Oreochromis niloticus: one gene and its partner. The protein of the gene in region 1 purifies or fractionates together with the protein of each later gene. This does not show direct contact. Links are inferred from orthologs where the notes say so. Each region holds a gene or a part of one and is shown on either strand. Other genes may lie near its edges.

Evidence for each region.
Region 2: the proteins of cdc26 (region 1) and anapc13 purify together in Homo sapiens (affinity purification with mass spectrometry; 4 studies listed by BioGRID and IntAct, counting the BioPlex papers as one, with this or other methods). This does not show direct contact. The link is inferred for Oreochromis niloticus from reciprocal best matches to the Homo sapiens genes CDC26 and ANAPC13.

Annotation. Positions count from the first base shown.
Region 1 is NC_031972.2:38,210,947-38,218,127, forward strand, and holds cdc26 (anaphase-promoting complex subunit CDC26), read right to left. Parts: upstream 4,374-7,181; 5' UTR 4,247-4,373; intron 4,235-4,246; exon of another isoform or gene 4,041-4,234; intron 2,831-4,040; 5' UTR 2,813-2,830; coding exon 2,732-2,812; intron 2,607-2,731; coding exon 2,394-2,606; 3' UTR 2,366-2,393; downstream 1-2,365. Other genes in the region: tyrosine-protein kinase Fer, read left to right, coding at 1-23, 159-281, 363-499. UniProt on the Homo sapiens protein: Component of the anaphase promoting complex/cyclosome (APC/C), a cell cycle-regulated E3 ubiquitin ligase that controls progression through mitosis and the G1 phase of the cell cycle.
Region 2 is NC_031972.2:64,184,662-64,192,229, forward strand, and holds the start of anapc13 (anaphase-promoting complex subunit 13), read right to left. Parts: upstream 4,240-7,568; 5' UTR 4,085-4,239; coding exon 3,986-4,084; intron 346-3,985; coding exon 220-345; 3' UTR 1-219. Other genes in the region: pierce2 (uncharacterized protein C15orf65), read left to right, coding at 5,836-6,141. UniProt on the Homo sapiens protein: Component of the anaphase promoting complex/cyclosome (APC/C), a cell cycle-regulated E3 ubiquitin ligase that controls progression through mitosis and the G1 phase of the cell cycle.

The DNA of each region.
Region 1 (7,181 bases):
TGCACCTGAGGCGCTCAACTATGGTAACACACACACACACCTGTACCTGAGATGCCAGTTGATTTTTAAAGAAGCTGTTAAGTGTGTGACAGTAATTAATAAGAACATAGCACAGAGTGGCTGCTGACTGTGTGCTGTGCTCTGATTGGCCGCTGCAGGTCGTTACAGCTCAGAGAGCGATGTGTGGAGTTACGGTATCCTCCTGTGGGAGACCTTCAGTCTGGGGGTATGTCCTTACCCGGGGATGACCAATCAGCAGGCTCGAGAGCAGGTGGAGAAAGGTAAACGCTCAGATAATCAATCAGCTGCATCACACAATCAGTGATGTCATCATGCGGTGACCATGTGTTCCTGGTTGCTAGGTTACAGGATGGCGTGCCCTCAACGTTGCCCTGATGATGTGTACAAAGTGATGCAGCGCTGCTGGCAGTACAGCCCCGAGGACCGGCCCAAGTTCTCCGAGCTGCAGCGTGACCTTGCCGCTATTAAGAAGAAGTGATGAGGTTATCACAGACACAGTGGTGGGTGTGGCCTATCTGAGGACACTCCCTTAAAGTCTAAGATCACCAATCGCAGACTCCGAGATCAAAACACACAACACTGCATTACAGGAAGGATGCCAGCCTTGAGTCAAGAAACTGAATCAGTAATTGATCGATCGATCTACACTAAATGATAAACAAACAGAGTAAACAAACACTGAATCAATAACAACACTACAAACAAACAGAAGCTGCTAAAATGTTTGTGCAAGCTTTTTTTTTTTTTAATAAACTCAAATATTTTTATGTTTTAGTTGAAATGATGTGAAATCCCCTTCTGTTACAACGGCCACACATCCTTCCCTTTGACCATCAGCTCTGAACACTAAATCTGTTTTATTTAATTTATTTTTTTTATTTCTGCCATTAATCTGAAGAAGCTTTTAGTGTGGAAAATCTTAAAATCTTAAAGATCTAAAAGACAGAAACCGCTTGTTGTCGATGTTGTCTCAGGAAACATAACTGAGCCCCATATGTCATTGAAATCAGTTTAAACTTAATTGGAAACACCAACGCGAACAAAACAAAAATGTGTTCCAACAAAAACTAAAAACACTAAAAAATAAAAATTTTTACGTCTTTATTTTTAGGGGGCCAGGTTTCTCTGCACATCACTGCTAATTTGTTAATAGCGCATGATGCACAGTTTCATCACACAGACCACGCCCACAAGGTTATTTTTGGTTTTTTTCCCCAGAAAGTTTCTTTGACCAAACAGTTTGGATTTTTATCACCAGCACTTTGTATATTTTCTGGTTGCCATGTGTTCACACTAAAAGAACTGTGAGTAGTGTTTGGTAAGCATCACTTCTTGGACGTCAGAGCTGAGAGCTCCACCTACTGACTGTTACTGTAAATACAAGTTTTTCTGAGTTCCGACACTAATCGTCTTTATAAAATATTATTGTTGTACCTTTATTATGAAAATAAACTGTATGAAAATAAGTCTGTGTTTGATGTCCATTCAAAATGCTGCAACAGCACAAATGCTGTCCAGAGGTGTAGTTTAGCATTTACAGCAACACCACTGTGTTGCTATTCACCTATCAGCCAAAGAGGCCATGCCTCTATACAGACTTTAAGCAGGTGAGTTAAGGAGTAAAGATCTGAACCCTAATGATGGGTAGATGATGCCTGATACACTGTGGTGATGTGTTGCTCAAGAGCAACATCTGCTGGATTTAAAAAACATTGCAGGTAACCTGGATGAAGAGGGTGGAGAGGGTCTGAACTAGGTTTATTCTGGACATCAAATCAGTGATGAATGGTCCTGTTTACAAAGTGCTAACTGAATTAAAGAGAAGTGTGTTTATTTAAATTAAGTTGATTGTAAGAAAAAGATGATGCAAATGCAGAATTTACGAGAAAGTATAAGTGAAAAATGTGCAATGTTAGTGCTGGTGTTGTATGTGACACATTTATGTGCAAATAAAATAATGTTAATACATTTGAAAAAAAAGCAATTGGAACTTAATTGCTCAGTTCTCATCTGAGTTAAAAGAGGAAACGGGAAAGAAAAATATTGACCCTATTTAGCATTTTAATATCAAAATGATTCCAGACTGGAAAAAAACATTTTTTTTAGTGGATTGTACACTGAATGATAATCGAGCAAAAAATGTAAACTCTTAAACAGCACCAGAGACGGCCTCGTGTCACTGTGAATACATATGAGTCTAAAGTTGTGCCTCCCCATAAACATAATTTGGCACCTCACCGCTGTACAACACAGCACCTGTATTGGTCACGATGTTTTTCTTACAGTTCCGATTCACTCTGACATTGTTTATGTTTGCTCATGTAAAAAAAAATGATACTCCAAAGATTTTTTTGCTCAAACTTTATTCATCATTAAAACTGTAAACTTCCAAATAAGGTTGGCAGGGTCGCCGGTTTGGGGTGGGGCTTGTAGCCGATTCGCTCATTGATAAGCTCTGCCCTTGATGTGGCTGTAGAGGACGATGCGGAGGCAGAGGCTCCACCCCCAATGACATCAACACCAATTACAGAGCCCCCACCCACTCCACCTCCCGACTCTGCCTCCTCTCGCTGACGTTTTCTGGCCTAAAGAAAAAGAAAACCTGATAATGTCCTGTTTGCAGTTTACTTCCTTTAAAGTCTCAGATGTTACTGATTGTTATTCATTCTCATTGACTGTTACTGATTGATTGGTACTAAAGTGAGAAGACCTCGAGCTCCTTCTTGACGCTCTCGAACTCCTCAGTGTCGTCGATCTTAAGCTCTAGACGAGTCGGTTTCCTCCTCAACATTTTCAGTTTGTGTCCACGCTGAAAGCAGATGATCAATATATCGATTGAGTACTCAGATTACAACAGAGTATCTGTTTGCTTTTTGACATCCTAACTGATGAAAATGATTCACCTCCAAGCTCAATGTTCTATAAAACTGATGAATATGATTTACTGCACACATTTCCTGAACCTTTTCAAAATAAAATATCACACGCTTCTATTGAAGTCACCCCTCCTGTTTCCAGATGCTTTTGTGACCAAAAGATTTCCAATGTGTGGGACTAATAAAGGTTTATCTTATCTTATGTTATGTTATCTTTACAGCCTCTAAAGTTGATGGTGGCACAAAAAGAAACAAGCTGTTGTGCTTTTACTGTGAATATCATGAGGCCGTAGCAGCCGCCTGTAATTTCAAAATAAAACCTTAGAAGACCACAACTCCTGTTGTCATGATGATGCCTATATTGAGCAGGTTGACTTCAAAAGTTTTCAGAGGAAGGAGAAAAGTCAAGTGATGAAGGTTAAAGGATCAATAAATCATTTATTTCTGCTCAGACACAGAAGCTTTAATTTATTCTGAAATCTGATAAATAACAGCAATCAGTATCAGTTATCGTTTCCATCAGATCAATAATTAGGATCGATCAGATCTAAAAAATGTTTCCTGATATTTGTTATCAGAATCACTGATCACACTGTTTGATGTCTGTGTTTGATCCTGATGATGAACGTATTGATATAAAGCCACAGCAGGAGTCCAGGTAACTTATCACCACGGCAACACTGACTCCTGAAGTCTCCTCCTGATTATTGACGTCAGGGTAACCGAGAGATACCCGGGGTATGGGCCTCAGGGCGGAGCTCAGGGCATCCAGCTGCTTCTAAAGCAATAGAAACTAAACTACACCTGCCGTTTAGACAGGAACCAGTAGCATGATCTGCTCTCAGATTGGTCAGTCAAATGAGTGTGGATGGTACTATGGGTCTGCTGTTGTGATGGCAGCAGAAGGAAACACCAGAAAAGAACCAGCAGCCTGAAAAACTGTGAAAAACCATGAGAACACCTATTCCTGCACAGAAGTCACTTCGTGATTCAATGATCAATTGGAGCAATATCTCCTGCGACTGATCACCACTCAGTCATTAGCTCGCTTGCTTTTCTAAAGGATGCCCTGAAGGTTATAAAGACACCTTTAAAGGTCTCATCTGACTGGCTGCTGACATACCTTGGCTATAACAGTCTCACCTCTGACCCCTGACCTTTCCGCTCCTTAAGTCGCCACTCATGCGCACTGTGCGCACGCAGATGGATTTCACAGAAGCTAAGCTAAACTAAACTAAACTAAGCTAAGCTAAGCTAAGCTGCGCTAAAGTGAAGTCGCAGTGACGTTACAGTGACCGGTAACGGACAGTCCTCGCGGATACCCTCAGTGTGAACAGGTGTGCAGGTACCTGATATACGAGTTGTAATGCTCTTTCCCGCCGTTTCTCTCTCTGTTTATTTTCTGCAGCTGCTGTGTCCACCGGAAGTGTGCAACCTCTGAGCCGGAGACACTTCAGAACTTCCGGGTCACGAAGCTCCGCGTAGGCGCGTCGTTCGTTTCCTCCGGTAAGTATGTCTCATTCAACGGTTTAACGGCACTCTGAGCCGCTGCGTTCAACTGCACAGGTGAGGCAAACGTCCAAGCGTAGATCAGCCGTACTGTGCTCTACCCCCTCATCCGTTAGCTCGTACTCCGGCGTGTTACCGCCACTCAGCCCTCGAAGAGGCTCCGGGGTCGCGCTGACTCCGCTGACTGCACAGCTTTACCTGAAACACTCACAGGTGAGAAACAGTGAGGAGTTACCGATTACTGATCGGTGCAGAGCTGCAGGAGGAGGCTTAGAGGTCTGAACTACGAATCTCTGTTTTCGTTATCATTGACCCTAACACGGGGACGGGGTCAGAGGTCACCTAGAGCGGCGCCTGTAAACATGTCCGCGGTGTTGAAACTCAAAAGTTCAGAGGATGGACTACAAATACAATTTGAATTCAACACAGCATGTTCTCAGCCTGATTCTGCGAAGGCCTTTGTTGTGCCAGGTCAGCTGCCTGTTAAAAAAAACCCAGCGTGGAGTTTTAAAGAACAAAGATTCAGGCTCAGATGTACTGATGGTGGTTAAAAGTCTGCTGGATTTACTGAAGATGCCTTAAACGTTGAAAGAGGCGCAACTCTGGTACACAGTGTACTACAACTGGATGAATATTCACAAGCTAAAACTTAGTGAGCAGCTCATAGAGATCTTAATGTTTAGAGTGTTTATGTAAATCTGTTCTTCATGCAGTAACAACTCAACAGGAGGTAGTTCTCCAGCAGTCTGATGTTCTGAGTTCAGCTGTGAGTTTATCAGCTTCTGTTAAAAACTATGAATATATCAGCAGCTTATGGATGAAATGGAAAAGTTATGATGAACATTTTCATGCTCTGCTCCACTTTGGTTTTTATATGATTGTTTTCATGAACAGTCAGATAAGTCTGTCGCTCCTTCCCTTTCATAAAGGATGCTCCAGTGTCTCATCTGTTCAGTAAAGGAAGCATTGAAGCTCCTTTCATTGGTGTTTGGAACAGCTCTGAGTGTGGCCATCACACAGATCCTTGTGGGTCGTGAGACGTGGACTCTTAACATAATTTAATCCAGAAACGTTAACACAGTGTTTTTCTCTCAGTTGACTTGACCTGACGTCAGCAGGGACAGCGCAGGTGTTTTAAGCCCTTTTCCCATTAGTACTCGCCACGGTTTCAAGGGTTTTCCATCAGGTCATAGTACCTGGTACCAGGTACTTTTATAATACCTGCTGGGCTGGGGTTCCAAGCAGGTACTTAAATGTGACGTCGTCAAACTGCATGCCACTGATTGGCTGCTCAGTGGTACCACTCGATGAGTCATGAAAGCGTCTTGTTCATGAAATCAAAAACGCCATTATTGAAACCAGGCAACGAAATGAAATGGCTACAAAAAACAATGCCCCGTTCCCTGAGTCTAATTGAAAGCCAGAGACCGAGCAGCAGGTATATCGTCGCCTCCATGTCCACCTTTGTTGTAGCATTCGTGTTGGTTATTAATTACTTCACAGGAAACTCGGCGTCGTTGCTGTGACGACGATCACACAGATCAGGTGGTACTCGATTGTTATGGAAAACCAGTCGTACTAATGGAAAAGGGGCTTTAGGCTCAGATATTGATGCTTAGAAAAGAATAAAACTGAGTGTTTACAAACCGGATTCCAAAAAAGTTGGGACACTAAACAAATTGTAAATAAAAAGTGAATGCAATGATGTGGAGATGGCAAATGTCAATATTCCATTCAGAATAGAACGTAGGTGACAGATCAAAAGTTTAATCCAAGAAAATGTATCAGTTTAAAGGAAAAATATGTTGATTCAAAATTTCACGGTGTCAACAAATCCCCAAAAAGTTGGGACAAGTAGCAATAAGAGGCTGGAAAAAGTAAATTTGAGCATAATGAAGAGCTGGAAGACCAATTAACACTAATTAGGTTAATTGGCAGCATGATTGGGTATAAAAAGAGCTTCTCAGAGTGGCAGTGTCTCTCAGAAGCCAAGATGGGTAGAGGATCACCAATTCCCACAATGTTGCGCAGAAACCCAAGTTGATATCAACGCTCAGTTCAGAAGCCTGCGTCTCTGATGGTATGGGGTTGCATGAGTGCGTGTGGCATGGGCAGCTTGCATGTCTGGAAAGGCACCATCAATGCAGAAAAATATATTCAGGTTCTAGAACAACATATGCTCCCATCCAGACGTCATCTCTTTCAGGGAAGACCCTGCATTTTTCAACAAGATAATGCCAGACCACATTCTGCATCAATCACAACATCATGGCTGCGTAGGAGAAGGATCCGGGTACTGAAATGGCCAGTCTGCAGTCCAGATCTTTTTTGAACATTTGGCGCATCATAAAGAGGAAAGTGCGACAAAGAAGGCCCAAGACGATTGAACAGTTAGAGGCCTGTATTAGACACGAATGGGAGAGCATTCCTATTGCTAAACTTGAGAAACTGGTCTCCTCGGTCCCCAGACGGGAGATGCCACACAGTGGTGAAAATGGCCTTGTCCCAACTTTTTTGGGATTTGTTGACACCAAGACATTTTGAATCACCATATTTTTCCCTTCAGATGATAAATTTTCTCAGTTTCAACTTTTGTTCCGTGATTTATGTTCTATTCTGAATAAAATGTTGACATTTGCCATCTCCACATCATTGCATTCAGTTTTTATTCACAATTTGTTTAGTGTCCCAACTTTTTTGGAATCCGGTTTGTACTACTGACGATCAGGGAAAAACACCCTGCAACTCTCCCTGCAGAGCTCTGAGGGATCATCC
Region 2 (7,568 bases), about 26 Mb from region 1:
AATGCACACAAACAGGAGGACTATATTTGCTCAAATTGATCAGTTTCATAAAGTATAAACAATGTTTTTATGTTTTATAATAAGAGTGATGGATAGTTCACCAGCAAGTGTAAAATGCCAACGCGCCGAGAAGAAACGGCACATTTGTGTATCAAAATTGACACAGTGCGCACCACGTCTGTGCATTTTATTTGTACAGTTCGATTCTGTGTTAGTCTTTCAGCTTCCGGTGCTCGGTGTGTTCTCATGTAAACTCTGCAGGGCGAGGTCCGTCCACTTCATCTCTTGCTCTTTCACAGACTCTGTCGATCCCCCGTTGTCCTGCTCAGCCTCAGGCAACTCGCTCTGCAACAAACCGGAAACAAGAAGATGGAATTAAAAAAGAAAGAAAAAGACACTTTGATCAACACTGTGATGGTTTCAAGAATATTTGATGGGGGAAAATACAGAGCTTAAACCAAAACAGCATGATCGATACACTCACCAGCCACTTCATTAGGTACACCTGTTCAACTGCTAATTAATGCAAAAATCTAATCAGCAAATCACATGGCAGCAACTCAAAGACTGTATCAATACAGCTGGCTGAAGTCCAAACTGAGCATCAGAAACTGGTGATCTGCTGGGATTTTCCCACAAAACCGTGACTTGTGTTTAAGGTAAAATAAAAATGGGTGAAAATGTCTTGTTGATGTTAGAGATCAGAGGAGAATGTGCAGACTGCTTCGAGCTGATAGGAAGGCGACAGCAATCCAAGCACGCAGAGCTTTGAATGCACAACACAACACACCTCGAAGCAGACGGACTACGGTGGCAGAAGACCACACCGGGTGCCGCTCCGGTCAACTAAGAACAGGAAACTAAAGCCACAATTCACACAGGCTCATGAAACTTTGACACCAGAAGACTAGAAAAATGTTTCCTGCTTTGATGAGTCCCAATTTCTCCTGGAACATTCATATGGTAGGGTCTGAATTTGACCTAAACAACATGACAGCATGGGTCCATCCTGCCTTGTATCAATGTTCAGGCTGCTGGGGCCTGTTCTTCGTACCTCGCTTACTACATCCAAGATCAAATGACACATCCAAGATCAAATCATCGCGCTAACTTTGAGCTCGCTAATCCGGTTCTCCGAACACACCTGTTGTTGACGATTAGTACAGCTGGATGAAGTAATCTGAGATCACTGGGTGGCTTAAAAGGGGCTACGCATCGATAGTAGAAACATTGATCGGCAACCCTGTGATTGGTCGGCGAAGATGTCGAAGGAGCGCGCTCAGTATTTCACGGCAGCAGACCAAGAACTCTTGATTGAGGGATATCAGGAGTTTCAGAGTTTAATTAAAACGCAGGGGAACACTGCAAAGGCTGCAAAAGCAAGGAGAGAGGGCTGGCAGAAAGTTGCTGACAAATTAAACTCGTAAGTGATCCATGATATGACATTATATCATGTGATATTATATTATACCACATTATATTATATTACATCATATCCTCTTTCACATTAGAGCCACAACAGGACCCACTAGAACATGGGAACAAGTAAAAGTGAAATATAAGAATATTCCACAGAATGGTAATATTTATCACTTATATTGCTTTTAGTCTCTTGAAAAGAGACCCTGGAATAATCTGTTTGTTTGTTTATAACAGCAACCAAGAAAAGGGCAGAGCAAATAAAGACAGGTGGTGGTCCTGCACCCCCTCGTCACACCCCTTTTTGTACTGTGACATTTATTGACATTGTGGGTTTTTGTGTGTGTAGTTTTACATAACACTCCATCAACTTACTGAAGCATGCACAGTAAGTTGGGATATATATATATATATATATATACATACATATACATATATATATATATATATATATATATATATATACATACATATACATATATATATATATATATATATATATATATATATATATATATATATATATATATATATATATATATATACACATACACATATATATATATATATATATATATATATACATATACATATATACACATACACATATATATATATATATATATATATATATATATACATATACATATACATATATATATACATATATATATATATATATATATATATATATATATATATATATATATATATATATATATAGAGAGAGAGAGAGAGAGAGAGAGAGAGAGAGAGAGAGAGAGAGAGAGAGAGAGAGAAAGAAAATAATACCCTCACGGGAAAGTCGATATCTCTCTATGAGCACACCGTCGCGCTGAGCTAAAGGATCCTGTCTATCCCGCAATATCCGCTGAATTCTGGAAACTCTCCTTATCAATCTTGCACCTTCCTTGCTCGCGTACAAACGGACAGGACATGGCTGCGACGGACTTCCCAAATCCACCTTCGCTTTTATAGCCGTGGTCTCTCATCTTGATTACACGAAGTAATTTACTATTACTACTCTAACATATGAATTACATCTGAAATAATCAAATACATGTAATAGCATGATTAATAGTACATTTCCCTTTTTTAAGGAAATGATCTGTATGTATCTGTATGGAATCAATAACAGAATCAAATACTGCATTATCTTTAGTTACACTGATAATATTTATTTATGGAAAAACAGTGGAGAAATATCGTTGTTGCTTTCGTATAACTGCAGCGGACATACCTGAGTGGCCGCGATCTAATCCTGTTTACATAAAGTAAGCCTGCTCCCGAGCAGGTTTACGCTTACGGATCTGTTGCTATGACAGCAAGTCTCGGATGAGCTTCGGAGAACCGAACGATCCAAGATCACGCGAAATCGTCAACATTCAAATCCGGCTAACTTACTTAGCGAGGTACGAAGAACAGGCCCCTGGTGGTGCAGTGTGTGGGAGATCTGTTCTTGGCACACTTTGGACCTCTTAATCAGAATCAGAATCAGAAGACTTTATTTATCCCCAAGGGGCAATTAACAAACAACCGAGCAGCATACATTGAAGATAAGGACAATAAGAACAGGCAATAGGAGTGAAATAATAAATACACAGAATATACAGTATATACAGTTTTAAAATTACACAGTTTTAAAATTAAAGTGACTGAAGTTGAATAAATAACTGCAAGTGACTAAAAGTGAATAAAGTGTAAGTAGTGTAGGAAGACTGTAGTTTATGTTTATGGGTGTGGGAAATGTTTTTATCGTCTTAATACCAAATGAGCAGCATTTAATGCCGCAGCCTAACTTCATGAGTATTATTTTGACCACGCCCATCCCTTTATGATCACAGTGTAACCATCTAGTGATAGCAGAATAGTTTTAGCAGGATAACCCTCAACGTTGCAAAGATCAAATAATTAAACTTGTTTCTTGAACACGATATGGTCACGGCACGCAAATGACCGCCTTTGGGATGTAGTACAAGTACGAGATTTGGATCATGGACGGCCAAATCAACAGCAACTGTGTGATGCTACCATGTCAACATGGTTCAACATCTCAGAAATGTCTCAGGCACCTTGTTGAATGTTTGCTGTGAAGAATCAAAGATGTTCTGAAGGCTTTAACCTTGGCCAGGTGTATCTAATGAGTGTATATAGTTTGTTTTTGACAAAGCAGGTAAGCATGCGCATGTCACTTCTGTAAGCCCAGAATAGGAAAGAGAAGTATACCAAAGCAATCCCCCCCCAACCATATGTGTATAAATGCTATATTTACGCTTATGTTCATATTCTCTCATTCCCCTCTATTTTATATTACAGCTCTGTAATATGTAACTTCTGTCGGTGCTCTGCTACTGGAAATTGAATTTCCCGGAGGAACCCACCCGAGGGATTAATAAAGATCTAATCTAATCTGCGTCATTGACATTAAGTAAAAAGCTAGATATTATGGAGTGTCCTCTCATGAACGGCACTGCTCGGGAACATCCTGCAAAAACATTTCTGCTTTCTGTAGTCATTGGTCCTTGTTGACGTTAACCTCAGCATTAACATTAACCAAAGACTTTACCAAAGGAATGGTGACGTCTTCGTACGGCAGCCTGTCTTCCCTCCAGGCATCATCGGTGAGATCCAGGACTCTCCCGTCCCGTTGGATTTCACTGTCCATCCTCCCGCCGAGACACAGCCGGCTGCCAATTGGCCTCAACAACAACAGGGGAGCAACAGTAACACGGATTTACGTCCGCGAACAACTCCGTTGCTGTTTGAGAGGAACAGTCGCAGTAATTCTACGTAGCCAGTTGTCACGTGCTGATGACGCAGTGTATGATGCCTTTACGTGCAGTGGAAAATACGAATCTAACGAGGTTTACTAGCAGGAGATACAATACAATTTGTCCAAATATGTGAACTTACACAACAGCAACATTTAGACTGCTACATGGCATTTATACTCCACAGTATACAGCCTTGTATGCCACCTGAAGGCAGGTTTAGCCCATCAGGCCTAATGGCTGTTTTAGAGTTTTATCTTCACTGATCATTGGGACCCAAAAACTGTATGCAGAAAATAGTCAGTCACCAGTCAAGTTCTTGCTCTGTTACAGTCCTCCCACATATTTAAAGTGATGATTAGTTGAGTTTCATGTCTCTGTCTTCTATCACTTGCATGCATGTGTGTCTTTAAGATAAGATAAGATAACCTTTATTAGTCCCACACGTGGGGAATTTGTTTGGTGTGTGGTATGTGTCTATGGTTATTTAGTGCCCCATGGGTTGTGGTATGTTCTCTATTTTGGTGAGTGAGACACACCGTCACTCTTTCTCCAATGAACATTTTGCACTTAAGACCATGCAATATCAAACAGTGACCACACACTGTGGTTTCTTTTGGTTTCTTGTTGTTGTTTTTTCTGTCTTCCTTTCTTTGACTGCCAGACTGTCTGATTTTTATCTCTGACAGCAAAGAAAAAAAACCTGCTTTTCACATCTAATCTATATTTTTCTTCTTCTCAGTCTTCTAATCAGATCTCTTTATGTTGTGTTATAACTTGGTTTACTCTGATTAGTGTTTGCTTGTGTGAGACTGTCCAGAGCATGTCTGAGAGGACGCAGTTGGCCGCATTACATCTGACATATGGGACTCTTGTATGATTTCAGAGAGATATTTAAAGAGAGGAGTAAGGTGATGCTGTATTTAAGGTATCTGAAGGAAAATAGTGCTCATTTTTGAACGTTAATGATTAGATTAGCGAGCTGGGGGATACTATTAAATATTTTAAGGTAGATTTTAACCAAAGTTTGGAAATATAGGGAAGTTTTTAACGTTTTTTTTTTTTTTCTTTTTTGCCAGGGACGATTTCTGACAGTAGCTATAATTTTTCTGCTGATGACAGAGAGTCTTTTTTTCGGTACAAAAGAGTCGGAGCCCCGTCCTCTCGCGCTTTCTTTGAAAGTCTCGTGAGATTATGTGAGGTCAAGCCACTAGTCCGCGCCTGGCTCGTCATTGCCATGGTAACCACATGTTTCTCTGTCTTCAACCCGTGACCAGTCGGTGCATTTTGTTGCGTTATTGAGTTTAAGGTAATTATATGGATCACATCGCAGTTTGGAAACAGCAACGCTTCAGTCAAGAAAAAAAATCCAGTGGTGAGAAATTTAGCGCTAGACAGATAGTGAAGTTAAAAGAAATGAATAGACATGAATTAGAGCTGGGCCGCTCTATGCTCGAAAATAATTTAATTGTAATTACCGAAATATATCTAATGTTAAATCCGTGTGAAACTAATACCATGCTAAAACCACTACTAATAACATGCAACTCTCCATCGACCATTAGTCAGTCCATATACACCTAATGTAAATGTGTAAATAATCTTCTAAATCGTTTCCCCCTCCTTTTTTAATAGAAGATCAGCAATGCCAGTCTCTCCAGAGCAGCAGGCAGAAGAAGCCAAAACATCAACCAGTCCTGGAAACCCAGTTTTCACCTGCGTGATAACTCCACAAGCAAAAGGTCTGATGTCTGCAGCGGGAACAAAGCTCGAAAGCATCATGTATAAGACCACATCTGCCGACTATGGTCGCCTCCCTCCAACCTTTGAAAGCTCTCCGTGCACTTTCCACCCCAAATCACAAAGATTCACCGAAGAGCTGAGGAAGACCGGGATGTATCGGAACTACTCCTTTAATACATCCTTGGACCGTAGCAGGGTGTGTGACTAACTGCTTTGCAGCACATGACTTTTAAAAAAACCCGAAAAAGCATACATCTCAAATGTAACGACTGCAGTATTCAATATGTGCACATGTATGAAATTAAACTATATTGTTTAGCATGTGTGTGTTTTTATGTTTTGGTTCCTACATGCTGTTAATATTACAGGTATATATTATTTTGAACCTCAGATGAATTAAAAACGCATAGGTGTTTCAGAGAGTAAAAAACACTTGAACTCTGTCGCCATTGTCAGTATAGAAATACAGAAATTCTTTGATCTGACTCACACTGGCGGGTTTAAAACCATCTAATTAGTTAGTAACATATTTTTAAAAATATATTAAATGTAATATTTGTTTTTCCTTTCGTTTTTTGAAGGTGGGGGTGGGATCACTTTAGTAAATGTTTCAGGCTGAACGAATGAAATTTGTTCATTTTCGCTGCCATTAGATGGAGAAAGGGGGTCAAATTTAAAGGTTACAAGTCTTATAGTTCCCCTCTGCTGTTCTGGACTCAGGTGTAGCGTACCATTTCTTTAATTCTTTGAACTTTGTGATGCACAATCAATTTCCTTTTTTAAATAAAATAATTAATTAATATATTTCTTATTTTAGACCATAAATATATTTAAGTTAAAAAGTAAAACCATTAGGCCGAACTCGTATGTTCACGTAACATTAAAGAGAAATCCTCCCTTCTCCTCCAGTCTCGCCTCCGCATCCACAGCTGACGATGACCAACCTTTTAGCTGCCAGCGCTACGGAACTTAGCGACCAGCTAGCGCTCCTTAGTAGCGTCGTTTAAAATGTGTACGCTATGACTGTGTTGCTGTTTTACTTCAGCGAAGGTGTGTTACGGCGGAATATAGACGGGTCGTGTAAATGTGTCCTGATACCCGAGTACCGCGCTCAGCTCGTTGTTCCTCTCGTTACCTAACTTGTGTAGTCCGACGGGAGAATCGGAGGAGGGTCCAGCTATCGAAGCTAACAGCTAGGAGGCTAGCTCATACACAACGCAGCTACCTTGTTAGCTCTCTGGTTTATTAACTACTTTGGTCTGGCTCGACTGCGCTTTGAATGGTTTTTGTTTTACAAGATAGCACCGTAAGTATCTCTTTAGTTTAAAATGGAACCATTGTGACTTTTTATGATAAGAACAAGTTTGGGAAACTTGGTTTTCCTTTTAACGTGGTGGCTAGCTTGCGAGTCAGCTAACTGAAAAGCTGTTGTTTGTCAACAATACTAAAATATGTCATCGTTTAGTAGCTCTGTGTGATACACTGTGCCTTTTTAATTGAGCAGCACAGCTATAGATTGAAACAACTGAACGTCGTTTAGTGGCTGTTTTGTTTGAGAGAAAGGGGAGTCATGTTTAATTTCAATAATTAACTTCTGTAATCTGCTGACATTTATCGTACGGGGTGTGTCGTTTC